Linked DNA regions of Sus scrofa. The protein of the gene in region 1 interacts with the protein of each later gene in a pairwise test. Links are inferred from orthologs where the notes say so. Each region holds a gene or a part of one and is shown on either strand. Other genes may lie near its edges.

Region 1 (4,111 bases):
CAGCGCCTTCTCCTGCTGCAGCTCCCACAGCAGCTCCTGGCTGGGCCGCTGCTCCATGGCGTGCCGGAGCTTCAGCGTGTGCTTGCGCTCCACCGAGCAGTCGTCCTCGGCCTTCATGAGGCTGTGCTTGAGCCGATCGATCTGCGGGGCCGCCCGTCAGCCCAGCCCGGGGGCCCGCCGCCCGCCCGCCGCCCGCCCGGCCGCCCCGCCGCCAGGCACCTCCAGCTGCAGGTCTCGGTTGCGCATGAGCGCGGTGCCCCTCTCCTCGCTCTGACGGGCCAGGCGCAGGGCCAGGTCGTAGTTCTCGTCCTTGCAGCGCTGGAGCTCGCGGCCGCCGGCCTCGCAGGCCTCCTTGAGCCTCTGCGCGCGCTCCTGGTGCTTGCGCAGCAGGCCGTCCTTCACGCGCAGCTCCTTGATGAGGTCGTCCTTGGAGCCCAGCAGCGCCGTCAGGTCCTGCGCCTTCTTCTGCAGCTTCATCACCTCGCTCATCAGCAGCTGCGTCAGGCCGGACTCCCCAGACGCGTCTGCGGACCGGGCCTCATCAGACGGCGCGCCCAGCAGCCCAGCATCTCGCGCGGCTCCAGGACCGGCGGCCCGGGGAGCCCGGCCCAGGGGTCTGGTCCTGACTCACCTGCAGGCCCCGTCCCCAGCCCCTCCCAGGACGGTGCAGCCAGGGGCTCACGTGTCCCTCCCTCTTTGTCCACTTTGGTCATCTTGATTGAGAGGCGAGGGGACACGACTCAGGACCAGGAGAGCGGCACCTCTCCGGCTGCCGCGGCCTCTCGGGAGCAGGGTTTTAGTGGGGTCAGGTGGTCTTCTGGGCAGGGGGGCTCTGAGCCAAGAATCAGCCTGTGCCTCCCCTCCCCCTGCTCCCGCCCTGGAGTTCAGGTCCCCCTTCCCTCCGGCCCCTGCCCCCTCCCCGGGCTGCAGCAGGAGAGCGGGCGGGCGGGCCCCAGGCGGGCGGTATCCTTCCGCCAGAGCGCATGCACGCTTTATCCGTTAGGGGCCCAGGTCAGGGGGGCGCCCCGGCCCCTGAGTCCGGGCCCTGGGTCCCCAGGCCCGGTGCCCTTCCTCACCAATGATGACGGAGAAGACGCGGGTGGGCTCCTTGCCCGTGACCTTCTTGTAGAGCTGCGGGTAGTAGAGCTCCAGGCTCTCGAGGAAGGCCACGTAGCCCTTGTGGCCGGTGCGTTGCAGGATGTCCAGGAGCACGCCTGCAACCCAGATGGGCCTGGCTGGGGGCCGGGGCGGCCGGCGTCCCCAGGCACGCGTGTGGCCCCTCGAGGCCCCGCGGGGTGGCCGCAGAGTGGGTCTGGGCCAGTCCCCATCGGCCACCCACCTCGTGTGGCTCTCCCAGGGGCCTCTGCTGTGCATGGCGGCGCCCCGGCCGCAGGCAGACAGGTTGGTGATGGGGGGGGCGGGGCGGGGGCCGAGCCGGCCAGGCCTCCCGGGGACAGGGACGAGCGTGGGCAGAGCCCGCCGCCCACGGCACTGACCCACTTTCCGCTTGCGGATGACCAGGCTGGGGTCACTGAGCACCTGCTCCTCGTCGTCGGGGCTCAGGACCTTGCACTGGCGCAGGTAGGGCGTGATGCGGGCGGGGTCGATGACGGAGATGAGCTTCACGCGGAAGCCCTCCAGGCCGCTCCAGCACTCGTCCTCGTTCTCGTAGTCGGACATGGTGCGGGCGGGCGCACTGCTCCGAGAGAGGGCCCGTCAACTGGCCCGCCGCCCTGCCCTGCCCTGCCCCCGCCCTCTGGCCGCTCTGGGCTTCCTCTCCCCCGCCCCCGTCACCCTGGGCCCCTGCCCCACGCTACCCCCCCAGCCTGTGCCCAGGGAGAATCCCCCTCCCCGAGCATTGTGGGCGGGCAGGGAGGCTGCCTCCCTCCCTGGAGGTGAGGGGGCAGCAGGAGCTGTTTGGGCCGAGCGCTGGCACAACCTCCCCGGCAGATGAGGGAGGGGTCCCGGTCCACCCCCGGCCAGCCCGCGCCCGGCTGGGGCGCCCCCCACCTGCGGGCGGCAGGCCATGCCACGCGGGACTTCCTCATTCCCCCGCACATCCACTCCCATCCCTTCCTCTGCTTCCTGTGGCTGGTGATGCAACAGTTGCCCAGCTGGCCCGCTCCGGTCAGGCCCAGGGACGTGGTGCCCTCCAGGAAGCGTGACTGAGAGCAGCCCACCGGAGGGCCCTGGGCACATGGGGAGGGCCCAGCTGTGTCGCCCAGGCAGCCCAGGACGCGGCTGCGCGCCTCCTCCAGGCTCTGGGTGCTGGGCACTAGCTGGCCCCGGGCTCTCCCCATCTCCTCGGCCACAGTGCTGAGCACGGGGATGCTGGCTCCCTGACAGGGGACCATCTACGTGGAAGCTGCTCTCTGCTAGCCCTTCCAGCAGCGGGTGGGCAGGGACCACGCTCTGGGGCGGGCTGAGCAGGAGCAGCCATGTGGCCATGCCTCCTCCTGGGGGAGAGGGGTCGGGGGGCACAGAGACCCCGCCTCAACACCTGGGACTGAGCCTGTAACCTGCCTGGGAAACACCGGCTCCCGGGCCACGGGGGCTGGGGCACGGTCCCAGAGGCCGTGGTATCCCAGAGGCCGTGGCTGTGGGTCCCACCGCCCTCGGCCCGCCCGCCTAGCGACAGGCGCGGCGTCCAGAGGAATCACCAGCACCTTGGTGGCCGGTCTCTGGACCTGGCCTGTTGCGGCCTTTCTAGCCTCAAGTCCACAGCACCCACGCCTGACGATGACCTGCTGTGCATTCCACCGAAGCGACCGTGCCAGGTGGCTGCGAGGGGGACGGGGCAGCAGAGGTGAGGCCGTTTGGTGCCCTTCTGGGGTGTTCACGCCAGATCCCTCTCCCTGTCCCAAGAGTCCTGAGCCACCTGGGCTTGCCGCCGCCTTTCCGAAAGGGCACCAGACCAGCCTACCTTGGGGTCCTCCTGAGGCACCTGTGCAGTGGCCGGTCGCCGGCCAGCCTGGGCCGCCAAGCCGGTGTGTGAGCGGTGGGAGCTGCCGCGGCTGCCGGCCAGGGAGGGTGGGGCGGGAGGGAGCGCACTTCCTGGCGTTAACCCCGCAGGGACCATCCCTGCGGCCGCTGCTGATTCGCCCGAGCAGGGCGGCCTGGGGGGCGGGGGAGGGAAGTGGAAGTGGCTCCCCAGGAAGGCTGCCCAGAGCCCTGCCAGCCAGCGCAGGGCTGGCCGCGGGGCCCAGGGCCCGCCCTGGAGGCCCAGCCCTGACCCTGAGGAGTGGGGAGTGCGAGCCAAGGCTTGACAGAGCTCGAGCCCCTGCTGGCCCACTTTGGTCCCAGGAGGGGGCGGTGTGGTGTCCCAAAACAGGGCCCCGGGCACAGGCGCCCCGCAGCACACTGGCCTGCTGTGGCTGGCACGGCCCCGCCCCTCCTGGGACCACCCCTTCTCCACCAGGACACATGACAGTGACAGCAGCCCCCCACCCCAGCACTTCAGAAGGGCTGCAGAAGGCCGGGCAAAGCCTGGAGCCCAGCCCTGGCTGCCAGCTGCACCCTGGCCAGGTTGGGGAATCCCCAGGCCACCGCGCTGCCCGGGGAGCTTTGCCAGTTGAACCGAGCTGCCAGCTTCAGCTCCGCGAAGGGGCTGCGGCTGGACGGGCTGGATGGGAGCCTGGCCGGTGCTCCCGGCTCCCCCTTCCTGAGGAGCTTCCCTCCCGCCTGGCCAGCTCCCTTCCTGTGGGGTCTCACGCCTCAGGCCGTGTGGGGGCTTCTCTGCCTTCTGCCCAGGATGGTCAGCGGGCCACTTCGCAGAAACCTTGGGCGTCCCGGCACAGACCTGGCACTGCTGGGTTGCGTGGTGGCCTGGCCTTCCGGGGAGCTGACATCACCCTCTGGGCATGGGGAGCCCCCTGCGGGAGCCGCGAAAGCCAGGTGGGGACTTGGTGCAGGAGACTGAGCCACCGCCTCCTACATGCCCAGCAGGCAGGCTGGTACCGGGCCCTCAACGACCCAGTTCCCGTGGCTTAGAGCTCAGGCAGACGTCGTGTGCTCTGGGCGAGGCAGCAGCCACAGAGACGTCGGGACCCTCACTCAGCATTTGGAAATTGAACAAGAAAACTTAGCCCACAGGTCAGAGGAGGTCGCGAGA
Region 2 (3,645 bases), on another chromosome or scaffold:
AGCCACCCTGCAGACGCACACGTTTGACTGTGGCAGCACAGCGAGGCTTCAAGGCAAGGCCTGCTGCCCCCTTTCCACCCCATCCTCCGCCCGGCGGAAGAGGCCCCTCTAAGCGCCAGCAAGCGCCCTTCATCTGAGACACCTCCCAGCGCCCCGTGACCCCAGGACGGCCAGCCTCCGAGTGCGTCTGCGGGGCCCTTGCTTGTGCCCTGTGCCCCCGAGCCTTGCCCACCCTTCTGGAAGCCTCCTCAGGCCCTCATGCTTTTCTCCGGTGGCACTGAGACTGACTGGAAGCACTCACGGAGTGACGTGTCCCAGTGACTCTGGAGCAGGAGCCACCAGGGGCCGCAGTGCGGTCCTGGCTCCAGGCCCTCCGAATGCACCGTGGTGGGGACTGTCACGCCCGCGATGGCGCAGATGCCATGAGCAGCTTCAGGTGTCTGATGTTACTCAGCAGCTCGGCGTTGACAGTTTGATCGTGGGCCACGTTTGTCACCCGACAGCCACCCTGGACTTGAGCCGGGGCTTGCACAAACGCTTCCTCGTCTGGCCATCACCACTGCAGACGCGAGGCCGGCGTCCCTCTCGGTGCTGCCCTGTACCTGCCTCGGCACCTGCCAGAGCTGGGCGCTCATCTCTAATGTCCCTTTTCTCGTGTCCCTCTTATCCCGAGACCCGAGACAAGCACAGAAAGGGGTCCTCACACGTCCACTTGGGAAGGACGCTCAGGTCCCCTCAACTACACTAATGGGTGAGCACAGGGAGGAATTTTTTTTGGGCTTTTTAGAGCTGCACCCGCGGCCTATGGAGGCTCCCAGGCTAGGGGTCGAATCGGAGCTACAGCTGCCGGCCTACACCACAGCCACAGCCACACGAGATCCTCAGGTCAGTACGCGAGGCCAGGGTTCACACCCACACCCTCACGGACACGTGTCAGGCTTGCTTCCGCTGAGCCATGGTGGGAGCTCCAGGATTAGTGATTAAAACCTGAACCTGCCTCTGGATTCTATTTGTGTCCACCCTGAATACATCTCCCCAAGTGCTGTTTTGTGAAAACAAGGCACCGCATCAGTTTTGAGAAATCACATAAATCTTCCAACAGTGCACACGGCAGACCCTCCAGCCTCTCCTCCAGCCCGGCGCGCACGGAGCTGTGGAGCTCAAGCACCCCCTGGTGCTGGCTTCTTTCTGAAGCTGAGGCTGCTCGGTTCCTTACGAAAAGACTCAGACGCCAAACGGACAGCAGCAGCAGGAGCAGCCCGGCCCTTTACCTTCGTCCTTAGGAAGAACGACTCGTCGGCTGTCTCCACCAGGTGGAAGAGGAAGGTTCTGGCGCAGGCCTCCTTCACCACCCGCTCGAGCTTGACGCGCAGACTGGCGCACAGGTCGGCCACCAGGTCCTCGTAGGAGGCGGGCCGCGGGCAGGGCGGGCCCGGCGCCGGGGCCGCGGCCTCGCTGGGCTCTGGGTCTCGGGGGGCGGCCTGGCTGCCGCTGCCGAGCAGCACCTTGTTGAACTCGGCGAACTCGCTGAGGATGAGCGAGATGTCGCCGCGCGAGTCCTTCCAGGGGCTGTTGTACTTGAGCTTGTGGAGGTGGAGCGCGGCCGCCTGGCTTCCGCCCGAGTTGGGAAGCGGGCTCCTGCCGTGGGCGCCCCGCTCCTTCCAGGACGAAGAGGCCTGGGCCATGCGGTGGGGCGTGTGGCCTCTTGCCCGACGACCCGGGGGTCTGGGGTCCGAGTGCACGACGGTCACCACCAGGGGACTTCGGCTCCGGGAGGCGGGCGCGGGCGCCGGGGCCGCCTTGGGAAAGGCGGGGGCCGAGGGGCCCGACCGCCGGGCGTCTCCGCGCTTCACCATCTGCTTTAGTTTATGCGCAAAACGCAGATATTCCAGATCCAAAGTGCTGCGGGTGAGGTCGGCCGCCCCCGGCCCCGTGTCCGTCCGCAGGCGGAGCGAGGCGCCCTGGGCCACGCCGCCGGGGGCCCGGCTCCGCGCCCGTGTCACCGGGAAGTTGGCGTAGGCGCGGGCCACGCCGCGGAGGTCGCGGACGCGGACGAAAGCGGGCACGCGCCTGGCGGGCTCCAGCCCGGGCAGCCGGCGCGAGCGGCCCCAGTCCTCGTCGTCGTCGCTGTGGCTCAGGCCCAGGAAAGGGTCGTCACTCTCGTCGGAGGCGCCTTTGTCCTCGGCACGCCTACACCGCGGAGCGCAGGAATCCCGGGCGTCTTCCCTGGGTTTCGCACACTCGCCAAGAGAGTCTTGATCCGAGTCTCCGGAAAGTGGCTCATAATGGATGTCAGGATTCGCACGGAGACCCGGGGGCGCAGGGTCCCTCGGGGCCCTCGGCCCCTCACCAGCGCTCTCAGCGCCAGAGACGCCACCACCAAGAGGGGCCCGAGATCCGGGGACAAAGGAGGCAGAAGGCGCTTGCCCGCCGCCCAGGCCGGCGGCCGCCGTGTCGGGGGGCGCATCGGCCCGTGAGCAGGGGGGCAAGGGCCCATGGCCCACCAGGTCCCGGCTTGGGCCCGCGGACCCGGCCCGCAGCCGGTGGAAGGCGGGAGGAGACGGGGGTCTCCACTGCGGACCAGCGCCTCCCAGGTCCACGGAGTCGCCGAGGGTCCCGGCCTCGGGGCCGTTATTCTGCAGCAGCCTGGCCATCCTCACGGCCGAGATCTCCTGCGTCTGCGGCCCTGGCCCCGCGGCTCCGGGGCCCGAGCAGAGGCCGGCTGCCGGCCGCTCCGCGTGGACCAGGCCCCCGGGGCCGGCGGCGCTGTCCACCGAGCCCGAGCGAAGGGACCTGACGAGGATGTAGCAGCGGCCGTCTGTCTTCAGGTCCCCGCCAAGGAGATGCTCCGGGGGCCTCTCGGGGCCGGCCTGCTCCCCCAGGGACAGACTGGCGTCAGCGGGCGCAGCCGCGGAGACAAAGGCCGCAGCCAAAGGCTGAGTTTCCAGAATGTGCCTGGGACTGAGGGGAGGGTCCCTGGAGTCCCAGATGAGGTGACTCACGTGGGGGCTTCTGTCCTCCACCGCCGCTGGCTGCAGGGGACTCCCTGAGGTCGCCTGGTTTCCCGGGGCATCTCTGTACCTGGCAGCCGAGGCAGGCTGCTTCGGCTCTGCGTCCCAGCTCGGTGCCCTTGCGGAGAGGGGGGGACCCTGGTCACGCTCCCCCGGGACAGCTTGCTCAGGGACTGCACCGGGAAGGGCTGAGCACGTCCCTCTCCTCTCGGGGGGACGCCTAAATACCAGAGGCGTTTCAGCAGGAAACGGCACTGGCGGTGCCCGAGGTAAGTTATCTTGTCCCACTGGAGGGGCTGGACCCGCCAAAGAATTGTCTTTTTCTGTTACGGCCATATCGACCGACTCCATCTGGGACGGCGGGTCACCGCTCTCACGCCGCGCCTCAGAGAGCTCCGCGCCGCAGGAGGACACAGCCCTAGCCGTCTGTGCGTCTGTGCCTGGTGCCTGTGGGTCAGGACTGGAAGCTGGTGACACTTCCTCAATCAAAGAACCGAAGGGGAAGTCTAAGGCCACATGCATCTCCTCTGCCACCTCAAGGGCACACGTTTCTTTAGAAAGGACGAAGGTCGCTGTCTGTGAAGTGTCACTGCTCCTGTCCTCATTAGCTGGCGCTCTCACTGACACAGTGCCA

The links. The genes of interacting proteins can lie anywhere in the genome.
Region 2: the proteins of CARD9 (region 1) and FAM208B interact in binary tests that used the Homo sapiens proteins (3 or more experiments, as listed by UniProt). The two-hybrid records come from large-scale screens. The link is inferred for Sus scrofa from reciprocal best matches to the Homo sapiens genes CARD9 and TASOR2.

Annotation. Positions count from the first base shown.
Region 1 is NW_018084833.1:1,342,226-1,346,336, reverse strand, and holds the start of CARD9 (caspase recruitment domain-containing protein 9), read right to left. Parts: upstream 2,905-4,111; 5' UTR 2,355-2,904; coding exon 2,011-2,354; intron 1,697-2,010; coding exon 1,497-1,696; intron 1,215-1,496; coding exon 1,077-1,214; intron 525-1,076; coding exon 220-524; intron 142-219; coding exon 1-141. UniProt on the Homo sapiens protein: Adapter protein that plays a key role in innate immune response against fungi by forming signaling complexes downstream of C-type lectin receptors.
Region 2 is NC_010452.4:65,205,854-65,209,498, forward strand, and holds part of FAM208B (protein FAM208B), read right to left. Parts: coding exon 1,272-3,645; intron 1-1,271.